Saccharomyces cerevisiae S288C: one gene and its partners. The protein of the gene in region 1 binds, or shares a complex with, the protein of each later gene. Each region holds a gene or a part of one and is shown in the gene's direction. Other genes may lie near its edges. The genes, in order: CHL4, MCM21 and IML3.

Evidence for each region.
Region 2: the proteins of CHL4 (region 1) and MCM21 are in contact, whole or in part, in a cryo-EM structure (PDB 6QLE), measured with the Saccharomyces cerevisiae proteins. Residues at the interface, in NP_010540.3 of Saccharomyces cerevisiae: Lys117 (codon at 1,925), Pro118 (codon at 1,928), Val120 (codon at 1,934), Lys122 (codon at 1,940), Gln124 (codon at 1,946), Pro153 (codon at 2,033), Leu206 (codon at 2,192), Asn207 (codon at 2,195), Ser208 (codon at 2,198), Pro209 (codon at 2,201), Pro260 (codon at 2,354), Ser261 (codon at 2,357), Arg262 (codon at 2,360), Glu265 (codon at 2,369), Ser266 (codon at 2,372), Trp270 (codon at 2,384), Tyr273 (codon at 2,393), Ala274 (codon at 2,396), Ser275 (codon at 2,399), Phe278 (codon at 2,408), Glu279 (codon at 2,411), Arg280 (codon at 2,414), Ser281 (codon at 2,417), Pro282 (codon at 2,420), Leu283 (codon at 2,423), His284 (codon at 2,426), Tyr286 (codon at 2,432), Lys287 (codon at 2,435), His289 (codon at 2,441), Gly291 (codon at 2,447); in NP_010604.4 of Saccharomyces cerevisiae: Arg157 (codon at 2,588), Leu160 (codon at 2,597), Glu161 (codon at 2,600), Ile164 (codon at 2,609), Glu167 (codon at 2,618), Asn168 (codon at 2,621), Arg171 (codon at 2,630), Met172 (codon at 2,633), Phe178 (codon at 2,651), Leu180 (codon at 2,657), Asp182 (codon at 2,663), Pro183 (codon at 2,666), Ile184 (codon at 2,669), Leu186 (codon at 2,675), Ile188 (codon at 2,681), Ile195 (codon at 2,702), Arg199 (codon at 2,714), Met201 (codon at 2,720), Arg205 (codon at 2,732), Glu207 (codon at 2,738), Ser214 (codon at 2,759), Phe216 (codon at 2,765), Lys218 (codon at 2,771), Pro219 (codon at 2,774), His220 (codon at 2,777), Tyr221 (codon at 2,780), Leu223 (codon at 2,786), Arg227 (codon at 2,798), Ile228 (codon at 2,801), Phe234 (codon at 2,819).
Region 3: the proteins of CHL4 (region 1) and IML3 are in contact, whole or in part, in a cryo-EM structure (PDB 6QLF), measured with the Saccharomyces cerevisiae proteins. Residues at the interface, in NP_010540.3 of Saccharomyces cerevisiae: Phe306 (codon at 2,492), Leu307 (codon at 2,495), Asn308 (codon at 2,498), Asp309 (codon at 2,501), Ser374 (codon at 2,696), Tyr376 (codon at 2,702), Leu389 (codon at 2,741), Asn391 (codon at 2,747), Ile393 (codon at 2,753), Asn394 (codon at 2,756), Arg396 (codon at 2,762), Ile397 (codon at 2,765), Ile398 (codon at 2,768), Thr399 (codon at 2,771), Ile400 (codon at 2,774), Lys401 (codon at 2,777), Leu402 (codon at 2,780), Lys403 (codon at 2,783), Phe404 (codon at 2,786), Asn405 (codon at 2,789), Gly406 (codon at 2,792), Asn407 (codon at 2,795), Asp408 (codon at 2,798), Ile409 (codon at 2,801), Gly411 (codon at 2,807), Gly412 (codon at 2,810), Leu413 (codon at 2,813), Glu415 (codon at 2,819), Leu416 (codon at 2,822), Lys419 (codon at 2,831); in NP_009665.3 of Saccharomyces cerevisiae: Pro151 (codon at 2,244), Glu152 (codon at 2,247), Thr153 (codon at 2,250), Gln154 (codon at 2,253), Asp155 (codon at 2,256), Lys156 (codon at 2,259), Asn157 (codon at 2,262), Leu158 (codon at 2,265), Arg159 (codon at 2,268), Gln160 (codon at 2,271), Phe161 (codon at 2,274), Ser162 (codon at 2,277), Ile163 (codon at 2,280), Glu164 (codon at 2,283), Ile165 (codon at 2,286), Pro166 (codon at 2,289), Ser169 (codon at 2,298), Gly172 (codon at 2,307), Leu173 (codon at 2,310), Leu175 (codon at 2,316), Gly176 (codon at 2,319), Tyr191 (codon at 2,364), Tyr193 (codon at 2,370), Asn194 (codon at 2,373), Glu195 (codon at 2,376), Thr196 (codon at 2,379), Gly197 (codon at 2,382), Met198 (codon at 2,385), Ala199 (codon at 2,388), Arg202 (codon at 2,397).

Annotation. Positions count from the first base shown.
Region 1 is NC_001136.10:963,537-967,112, forward strand, and holds CHL4 (Chl4p), read left to right. Parts: upstream 1-1,576; coding exon 1,577-2,953; downstream 2,954-3,576. Other genes in the region: CCR4-NOT core subunit BTT1, read left to right, coding at 1-325; MET32 (Met32p), read right to left, coding at 454-1,029; ubiquitin-protein ligase RMD5, read right to left, coding at 3,021-3,576. UniProt on the Saccharomyces cerevisiae protein: Component of the kinetochore, a multiprotein complex that assembles on centromeric DNA and attaches chromosomes to spindle microtubules, mediating chromosome segregation and sister chromatid segregation during meiosis and mitosis.
Region 2 is NC_001136.10:1,101,722-1,105,494, forward strand, and holds MCM21 (Mcm21p), read left to right. Parts: upstream 1-2,036; coding exon 2,037-2,088; intron 2,089-2,171; coding exon 2,172-3,226; downstream 3,227-3,773. Other genes in the region: HIM1 (Him1p), read left to right, coding at 463-1,707; YFT2 (Yft2p), read right to left, coding at 3,282-3,773. UniProt on the Saccharomyces cerevisiae protein: Component of the kinetochore, a multiprotein complex that assembles on centromeric DNA and attaches chromosomes to spindle microtubules, mediating chromosome segregation and sister chromatid segregation during meiosis and mitosis.
Region 3 is NC_001134.8:453,293-456,323, reverse strand, and holds IML3 (Iml3p), read left to right. Parts: upstream 1-1,793; coding exon 1,794-2,531; downstream 2,532-3,031. Other genes in the region: AIM3 (Aim3p), read right to left, coding at 1-1,502. UniProt on the Saccharomyces cerevisiae protein: Component of the kinetochore, a multiprotein complex that assembles on centromeric DNA and attaches chromosomes to spindle microtubules, mediating chromosome segregation and sister chromatid segregation during meiosis and mitosis.

The DNA of each region.
Region 1 (3,576 bases):
CAAGTTACAAGCTGAACTTCATAAACTGCATCCAATGACCATTGAAAACGTTGCCGAAGCAAATTTTTTCAAAAAGAATGGCAAGGTTTTACATTTTAACAGTGCAGTTGTACAGATTGCCCCTCAATGCAATCTCACAATGATTCATGGCCAACCGAAAGAGAATACACTTAATGGGCTGTATCCGAGCGTAGCCTCTCAATTAGGTAGCCAAGAACTTGAGTATTTGACAGGTTTGGCTCATAACCTAGAAAATGAACAGACGGTGCTCGACCAGCTGGGCGACAGATGCAGCGAGACAAAACAACAAGTGATGAATAGCTGACATAGTTCATAATAATTGCCAGTAAACGTTATAGCTAGTGGCGAATGTCGAAGTGGAAATGCTATCACATTAATGTTGCAGATGAATATATATTTTCTTATTTGAGAAGATACACGCTATTTACTCTTTCAGCCATTACTGCTACCATTGTGGTTGTTATCTTGACGATGAACGATGTTGGATTGCTTGACTTTTTTCAGTAATTCATTGATACCCTCACCACCCGCAGTTAGTAATTTAGTCCTGTTTCTCCTACATGTCAGTGTATCATAATGTCTTTTCAATGCATCTTTCCTTGCAAAACCTTTGCCACATTGAGGACAAATGTTAGGCAATATGGCGAAGTGTGTCTTTTCGTGCCTTCTCAAATCTGATGATCTTGAAAATTCCAACGAACATTTCGCACATTTAAATCTTTTTTCACCAGTACTATTTCTACGATCTTGGGGTTTGCTTTTGCTGGACTTCGGTGGTTTTGGTAATGCGTTTTCCTTTTTAACCTTTATGTTACCGCCTTGACTATTTATATCAACACCATTTTCTGCCGGTATGAGTGCTGGTTTTTTATTTTGTAACCTGTTTTGCCTATTCCTTACCCTTTCTAATAACTCTTTTATTATAGGATCTATGTTATCTATATTTAATGATACATCCACTATTGCTTCTGTAGCCTGTTTGATAAATGCAGCATCCTGATCCTCCATTTGGTACTTTTTTGAAATTTATAATACCTCTTGACTTTTTTCCACTATATTATTAACAAATTCTTGGCATATGACATGAAACCCTATTCAATTATCCAGATGCATACATATATACCATGGATAGATATGTATATCTACTATATCTATATATACCTCGTCAATGTAATGAGGAAAGTTCCGAGGGCGACAAAGAGAACAAATATAGTTTTATTTATAATAATGATACAGAACTCAAGATTATTTCCTGCTTATTTTAAACTAAAAGTATAGCAAGTTCTAACCCACAATCAGGTTCTTTATTATTGTCAAGAAAATATAAACTGTGGCGTACTAAGCGTACTAAGTAAGGGACGAAAAACCATCACAAAATGTCACGTGCATGTTAGTCCAGTCGGGCAATAGATAGGGACTGTAAATTAAAGTTTATATTGAAATAAACAAAGGTAAATGGTAAAAGATTAGAAGCATAGAAAGCATCTGGCGTTATTTTAGCGGGGAAAGATTTTGGTGGATACTATCTTTGACTAGTATATTTGAGTAGCAATTAATGTCTAACGAATTACGGCTTGAAGATAACTATGTACCAACTTCCGACACACTAGTAGTTTTCAAACAATTGATGAAGCTGCCGGTAACGGTATTATATGATCTTACGCTATCATGGTTCGCAAAATTCGGTGGGTCATTTGATGGTGACATATATTTATTGACAGAAACATTAGACTTACTGATTGAGAAAGGCGTGAGGCGAAATGTTATAGTAAATAGGATATTATACGTATACTGGCCGGATGGCCTGAATGTTTTCCAATTAGCAGAAATAGATTGCCATTTAATGATAAGTAAACCAGAGAAATTTAAGTGGCTTCCATCAAAAGCTTTACGGGGAGATGGGAAACCTTACGTAGTAAAGCTCCAACCTGCCAAATTTATAGAAAATTTACAAACAGATCTAGCGAAAATTTACCATTGTCATGTTTACATGTTTAAACATCCCTCTTTGCCAGTGTTAATTACCAGAATACAGCTATTTGACAGCAATAATTTATTTTTGAGTACGCCTAATATAGGGAGTATAAATAAAGAGTCTCTTTACAACAAGTTAGACAAATTCCAAGGGAAACCATTAATATCAAGGAGACCATATTACGTTGCATTCCCGCTAAATTCTCCAATAATTTTCCATTCAGTTGACAAGGATATTTATGCTAGACTAGTTTTGCAGAGCATTAGTCGAACGATATCAGAAAGAGAAACAATCATCTTCAAACCGGTACAGAAAATACCCGTGAAATCAATACATAATATAATGACTTTATTAGGACCTTCGAGATTTGCGGAGTCTATGGGCCCATGGGAATGTTATGCTAGTGCTAACTTTGAACGGTCACCACTACACGACTACAAAAAGCACCAAGGCCTTACTGGTAAAAAGGTAATGGTTAGAGAATTTGATGATTCTTTCTTAAATGACGATGAGAATTTTTACGGAAAAGAAGAACCTGAAATTAGACGACTAAGGTTAGAGAAAAACATGATCAAATTCAAAGGTTCAGCAAACGGCGTAATGGATCAGAAATATAATGATTTGAAAGAATTTAACGAACATGTCCACAATATTAGGAATGGAAAGAAAAATGAAGATTCTGGTGAGCCAGTGTACATTTCTAGATACAGTTCCTTAGTTCCTATTGAAAAAGTTGGATTCACTTTAAAAAACGAAATAAACAGTAGAATAATTACCATAAAATTGAAATTTAATGGTAATGATATTTTTGGGGGATTACACGAACTATGCGATAAAAATTTAATAAATATTGATAAAGTTCCTGGGTGGTTGGCTGGAGAAAATGGATCGTTCTCAGGAACGATAATGAATGGAGATTTTCAGCGAGAGCAGGTTGCTAAAGGTGGTTTACTGTAGAAAACTACTGTGTTCTGTTATCGCTTCCAATAAAAAAAAAAAAAAAAAACCTATGCAAAAATTTCAGTCAAAGCATAACAAAACGAACCTTTTTTGTACTGCTCATTGAAGTATTTACGGGGCAGTATGGGCACTTGAAAGTAATTGTTCCGTTCTTCGATAATCTGTCTAGCGCCTTTTTAGAAATGATGTGATGGCATGCCAGTGAATAAGGAGGATTTTCTGTAGTGGTTTCCTCCTTTAAGACGGGACAGATGAAGATCGGATGGAAATGAGTCAGAAAATCTGGTAACTTGACATCAAATGGCAACTCATCTTTCGTAGTCCAGTCAACGTGCGCTAACTCCCTGATGGTTTTGTATTTGATGAAAAATTGGAAAGAAATTAAACCACTCAATACTATCAAAAACAAGGGAGAGTCAAAGAAAATATGTTTTGCAGCACAATATTCTTTTATAAATAACGACGTGCATTCTTTTAATTCCTTATTTACTTTAGAATCAATATCTTCAATAGGTTGACCTATTAGCGATTTAGTTAATAATGGTACGACGTTTTGCATTAATTCCTTCTCCCTATGTCTAAAGCAATCCAGGGGTGCGTTCTGTGTTATTTGGTAGTAC
Region 2 (3,773 bases), 140 kb from region 1:
TCTAAATGTTACCAATCGTTATCCTTTTTTATCATCAATCCGTGCGTTTCAGTTGCTTTTAAATTTGATAACGCATTCTTATCATTTATGTCATTTTATTACATCATATATGATAATATTCCGTCACCTTGAATACTCATCAAGAAACGATAAGTTGTTGTAATTTAACAGTAACTCTGCATATAATTCAACAGGTAAAAACTAACTTTTATATCCTTGAACTTCTTCATTTTTGTGTCTTTCATTGAAAGTATAATTTTCCTTTTTTTTTTTTGGTTTTCAATACATATAATGATGGGTGACATTTTTTGTGTCATTTAGATTAAAAGAAATTTTAAGAAAAATTGACGTATTTAATTTTGATCCGCAGTAAACGCTATAAATTCTTTTTAATATAAATGACAGCTTTTTATACATATAGACCCTTTGAAGAATATTCCAAACTAGAAAGGTTGATCAGAAATGAGTTATAGTGTCAACACGTTTACAGATTACGTTTTATTGTTTGGATCATCTAGTTTAGTAGGAAAAGGTATTTTAGAGAACCTGTTGGACATAAATTTATATATTAAAAATGTTTCGGACCTACAAGGCAAGCTTGATAGCTTAAGTGAAATAAAGGGAAATGTCGTTCTCAATAAACATGTCTTTTGTGTTAATAGAAGGTGCATCAATGAGGAGAAATCATTTATGAAGACCATTGATTATATAAATATGAGATCAGTTACTTGGCAAGGTGGCAGATATTACTTGAGAAGCAGGAAAGAAAAAGACACTGAAAAAGTACCGTCTAGTCCTAATACTTTTTGTTATGATAATTTTGAAGAAGGATTTATTAAAAATACGCCTGAAGAGAGGGGAAAAGATGGTTATTCTTTTGTTTATAATCAGAAACAGTTCAGTTACACACTACATTATGCATGCGGAAAGGAAAAAGGTATTGAGATCATTTGTAATTTTACTGTAACGCAATTGATCATCCCCAGATCTGAAACTTGGCCAAAATTGCTTCCACGGATATTCTCAGGAACACAAAAGCTGGAAAAGTTTGACATTGACAACAAAAATTACGTTCCCGGTAGAAGTTTGCCTAGTCTGTGTGATATTAGCACTATGGTGTGCTCTTTGGGCTCCACCTCAGCTAGAGTGCGGAGAACTCAGGTACCAAGTTCCTTTGCTGACTATTACTTACCTTTTAATTTAGCACAAGAATTCACGAATACAACTAACAAAAGGTTGGTGGTTACAACTGCCTTTAATAATGATTTTCTTAGTAAAACTTTCGAGTATTTTAGAATAAAAGCTAAATTAGAAAATGACTTGGATGAAGCTTTGCCAAATAAGCTAAAGGAGCTAGTTATTTTGAGGCCAGGTCCGATGTGTGGACAGCACGGAAATCCTATAAACGTTGAATTGGGTAAAGAAAACTCCACTTTCTTGGAAAAAATTTTTTATTATCCTCACTATCTTTTAGTTTATAAAAAGAAATATATCAGTGAGGCCAGAAGGATTGGCTTAAGAACAAAGTTAAGCGAAATAATTGCTTCCAGTATATATAGGATGCCAGGATCTGCATTATTAGGATACGCTGTCCCAGTTTCAAAGGTTTCTTATGTTGCCTCTTTGATGGCGATTGAAAGGAAAAGTAAAGAGGCGGGACCTAAGCTGGAAGTAATTAGCAGTTATCAAATTGATATGATTGTGTGAACAGTCAGTCTTTTCTTTTGATAGATGCGAAGTTATTAAATAAATAGTAGCCTAATACATAAAAGAACCACTATATCATGGATTCGATACCTGGGCCGTCTTAAATTTTTATCGCATTGAATATGCAAACTTTATGTATTGTTTTACTAATCGCCAGTAATGGCCGACCAATTCTATGATAGATCTTCCCTAAGTTTATAATGATGGTAAGAAAACGCGCATATTTCAAAACTGAAGAAAAAACAAACAAAAGCCATATGGATAATGAGGGGAAAATGTGATTTCTTTACTTGAGCAATTCTTTCAAACTATCAGTAACGCTCCTGGCAATGAGTAGAATCGATGATTTACAGCAGGACATTGAATCTTTACTCAGTGAAAGTATGTGATTTTGAGGCTGTAACAATTTTCTTTCTTTTAAAAAAATGATTAAGTTGAACACTAACATAGTAGAATCTTCACAGTCAATTCATTAGAAGAAAGTCGTGAGAAGCTCAAAGCGAAGATAAAAGATAAAAGAAAAAATGAGGAGAGCGCTAATCCTATAGTACAAGAATTTGAAGATCTATTCGATCAATTCCCACAGTTGAATAATTTTTTATTTAATGAGCATCCAGAATTGGAAGAGACAGATGACAAGGACATATCAAGGGCGCAAGCGGATATACCAGCAACGCCAATACCGTATGAACCAAAGAAAAGAGCTAAGCTGGAGAATGAGGAAATTTTACCAGAACAAGAATGGGTTTTAAAGACCCAGCCAATGGTTCAGCATCAAATGTTTGATCCTGGGGTGGCAGATTTATTGGATACAGACATTCTAACGTCACCTTCAAAAAGAAAGCGAAAACTAAAAATAGACGATATTAGTACAAGTGATAGAAGTGAGTTGGAAGATTATATTGTCCTGGAAAATGTTTATAGAATGTTTGGTATAACATTTTTCCCTCTTGTGGACCCTATTGACCTTAAGATAAAAGATGCTAGCGGTGAAATATTTGTTGATAGAGAAATGCTGGGAATACGACTGGAAGTCTTCAGCGAACGGACATCCCAATTTGAAAAACCTCACTATGTATTGTTGAAAAAGAGGATCAAATCGAATAGTTGGTTCCTGTTCAAGCATACAATCCCGAGTTTCATTGATGTCCAAGGTATATTTGATGACACCAATGGGGGACTAGTGATATCTCATGATGACGCCTATTTATTTGCTAAAAGAGTCTTCCTGCAACTTGTGGAAGTACAGAAAAGACGACAGATTTTTAAGGACTTAGAAGCTAAGAAGATAATCCACGACTTAGATTTAGATTTAGAATCTTCAATGGTTTCGTTTTTTGTGAAGGATATTAAAGTCGAGTTGTTTGTAAAACAAAATGAAATAGTTTCATGTTCAATATTGGACGATATTCATGATTTTAGTCAAAATAATAAAAGTAAATGGGAAATTGCATTGCTCGGTTCTTTGGATGATTTGGAATTAAAATTAAACCATTCTTTCGCGACAATATTCAAGTGAATGTTAACAAAAATATACTTTATAGAAAGAGGATAGAGCTAATTTTCTCTGTTTATCATAGATATAAGTAATTGTGTAGTATCCCAATTTTGGGTAGAATGTGGTATATGAAAACAGGGCATATGAAACCCATAAGGCAACCTAACACTTTTTCCAAGATAGTATGATAATAAATAGCGGTAACCCAGAGAATACATATCCAAATTACTAGGACAGCGCAAACAATGGCAAGGCAAGCTCGTACCCACTTATTCACAACCCAAAACATATCTTCAGCTTGAACAAATCTACTGAATAAGTGAAGTTCCATCCAAAGAATCATGCTTATACTCACAAGAAAGCAGAAGTGTCCACTAATGTCAAACCCACCATCCCATTTCCCATTTTCTAGACGGCACTTTTCAGCTGATGTCGTTTTACTACCAGAACTGCATTCTCCCCCTGTCCAAATGAAAACATGATCGATAAATTGGAAATTCAAAAACAATAATAGATATTTTAGAACGAACTTGCAAGCATATTGAGTGATCATAATACTGATTATTCT
Region 3 (3,031 bases), on another chromosome or scaffold:
CTTTCATCGTTTTCTTTGTTTCCAGAGTTCCTTTCATTGTCTGCAGTAGTAGTTCTTGAATGCTTTGCTGGCAATGAAGCCGCCGAAGAGGTTGTGTTAGGCTGTATTTTCCCACTTGGCGCAGGTTCCTGGTGTACAACTGCTCCTCTATCCCTATGAGTGGGAGGTGGTGGAAGGCTACTAACGTCTACAGTGGGAATATCGATTTTGGGCTTCGGAGCAGGTGCGTCTGGGTCAAATGGAGTAACTTCAAAATGTGGGGTTGAGCCAGTAGAATCAAGAGAAGGCTCAATCGGATAGATGTTTCCCTGTTGCATTGGTTGCGGTGGCTGTGGCTGCATTCTTACAGGCACAGGCGGTTGTCCACCGACTGGAGGCTGACCTTGCATGGGTGAAGCTCCATAGCTGGGGTTCGAATCTTGCATGTTTGTAGTACTTGACATGGCTTGGCCATAGACAGGCTGAACCGCAGCCATCCCAGAAACTCCTTCCACGTTCATTTGTGGCAACAAAGCGTTGTTTTGGTTCAGAGGCTGCTGTTGCTGTTGCTGTTGCTGTTGCTGTTGCCCAAAGCCATTTGACAGAGGCTCTCCGGGCGCTGGCAAGATCACTTGACCGCGCGGGGGCGGTAATGGTTGCCCTTGTTGTTGCTGTTGTGGTTGTGCAGGTGATGGTAAAACTTGCTGGCCAAACTGTGTCGTGGGCTGCTGCTGTTGGCCCGATGGAAATTGGGATTGTCCGAGATTGGTTGAGCCATGTGATACGTATTGCGGCTGCTGATGACACTGAAGACCGTTCTGGAAAGACGGTGATGGTGCCGGATTACTTGATTGGGTACCATATTGCAGATTTTGCGAGACAAACCCTGTGCTTTGCTGAGAAGCAGAGTTCAGAGATACCTGACTTGGAATTGCATTTTGGGGTTGATTTTGTTGCGGCAGCGACTGGTAGCTGGTTGCATTAGAATTTGACCCATACGGTGGTACTTGCTCTCCATATATAGGCGGCTGCTGTGGCACTACACCTTGTTGCAGCTGCTGTTGCTGTGGCATTACACCTTGTTGCAGCTGCTGTTGTGGATACTGATTATACTGTGGTTGTGCGTATTGTGACTGTTCCGTCGATCCTGCGCCAGGTTGGCCTTGGTATGCACCCTGAAAAGCATAACTGGCCTGACCATTTGGCATTTGCTGTTGCTGTTGTCCTGTATAAGTTTTTTGTCCAGGTTTCAAAGGTGGGGGAGGAAAGGACTTTGGGTCTTTTAAACTTCTTATATCGGTCGGCTTTCTTTCGTACTCCATCTCATCTTCGCTATCATACTCCTCATCACTTGAATTTTTCTTACCACTCTTCCTTTCCCTACGCGCTTTGCTGTTGTTATAGTGCTTCTTACTTGCCTTATACCCTGTCTTGGCAACGTACTTTGTTCCTTGGTAACCATATTTACCGGCGCTCTTCAGCCCTGAAGTGATGGAATCTTTGTTGTTCTCCCAAAATCCCATGCTGGTTGATAACTTGATTTTTTTATGAAAGACCTCTCTCGAACATACGATTATGTAAACTCAAAATGACTTTATCCATATATGTATACACTTAATTTAGATGATGAAATATAAAAAAATAGGGTGGTCCCTGGTTTTCCTGAAGCGCGATTTAGGCAGATCCAGTGGTACTACGGGAAAAAAAAATGCCGACACCGATATGAAATAGACAACAACCATAGTGGGATGATCTGGTCGACTGCATGGTTGATTTGATTGTCTATAGGTATCAACGTACTTCCTTTGGATGGAATGCCTTATACTTGGAAGTTTTTAGGAATCAGCAAGCAACTTTCACTGGAAAATGGTATAGCAAAGTTGAACCAATTGCTAAACCTGGAAGTAGATTTAGACATTCAAACCATTCGAGTACCCAGTGATCCTGATGGTGGTACCGCCGCTGACGAGTATATCCGTTACGAAATGAGGTTGGACATCTCTAATTTAGATGAGGGCACTTACTCTAAGTTCATTTTCTTGGGGAACTCAAAAATGGAGGTGCCGATGTTTTTGTGCTATTGCGGGACAGATAACCGCAATGAAGTGGTATTGCAGTGGCTGAAGGCAGAGTACGGTGTCATTATGTGGCCGATAAAATTTGAACAGAAGACCATGATAAAGTTAGCTGACGCCAGCATTGTGCACGTAACGAAAGAGAACATCGAACAAATTACCTGGTTTAGCTCAAAGTTATATTTTGAACCAGAAACACAAGACAAAAACTTGCGGCAATTCAGTATAGAAATACCGAGAGAAAGCTGTGAGGGTTTGGCTCTTGGCTATGGTAATACTATGCACCCGTATAACGATGCAATTGTACCCTACATTTATAATGAAACGGGGATGGCGGTGGAAAGATTACCGTTGACTTCCGTCATATTGGCAGGGCACACGAAAATAATGAGAGAATCCATTGTCACTTCAACACGAAGTCTCAGGAACAGAGTTCTAGCAGTTGTACTCCAATCGATTCAGTTTACCAGCGAGTAACACTATAAAGAATATTCACCAAGATACAATAAAAAACCACAGCTCTACCTTTTTTGTACATATGAACCTGAAGACCTTCATGAATCATCGTCATTATCAGTAATATCCGGTTCGTCATATCTGCAATGACACCCCACAAAATCCCAGAGACATTACAATTTAGTGTAGAGATCCCGACACAACGGGCCAATGGCTGCTATGAACTAATGTTCACATAGTTTAATTTTGTTGAACTTTCAGTATATATTTGCATAAAATCATATAGACGAGCGCACTTAGCGGAAAGTGCGGCAGTCATACAAGCACGAGGAAAAAGAGGACACGACTCATTTTTCTTTACATGATAAGCCCAACAAAATGAAAACAAATAGAGTTCCTTGTTTTCATTTCATCTAATCAAGAAAAAAAAAGCAATTCTATGGCGATGTAGGAAAATAGACACAATTCGTCTAGCTTTATCTTATTTCATTCTATTTTTCTTATAACACTGCAGCAACTGC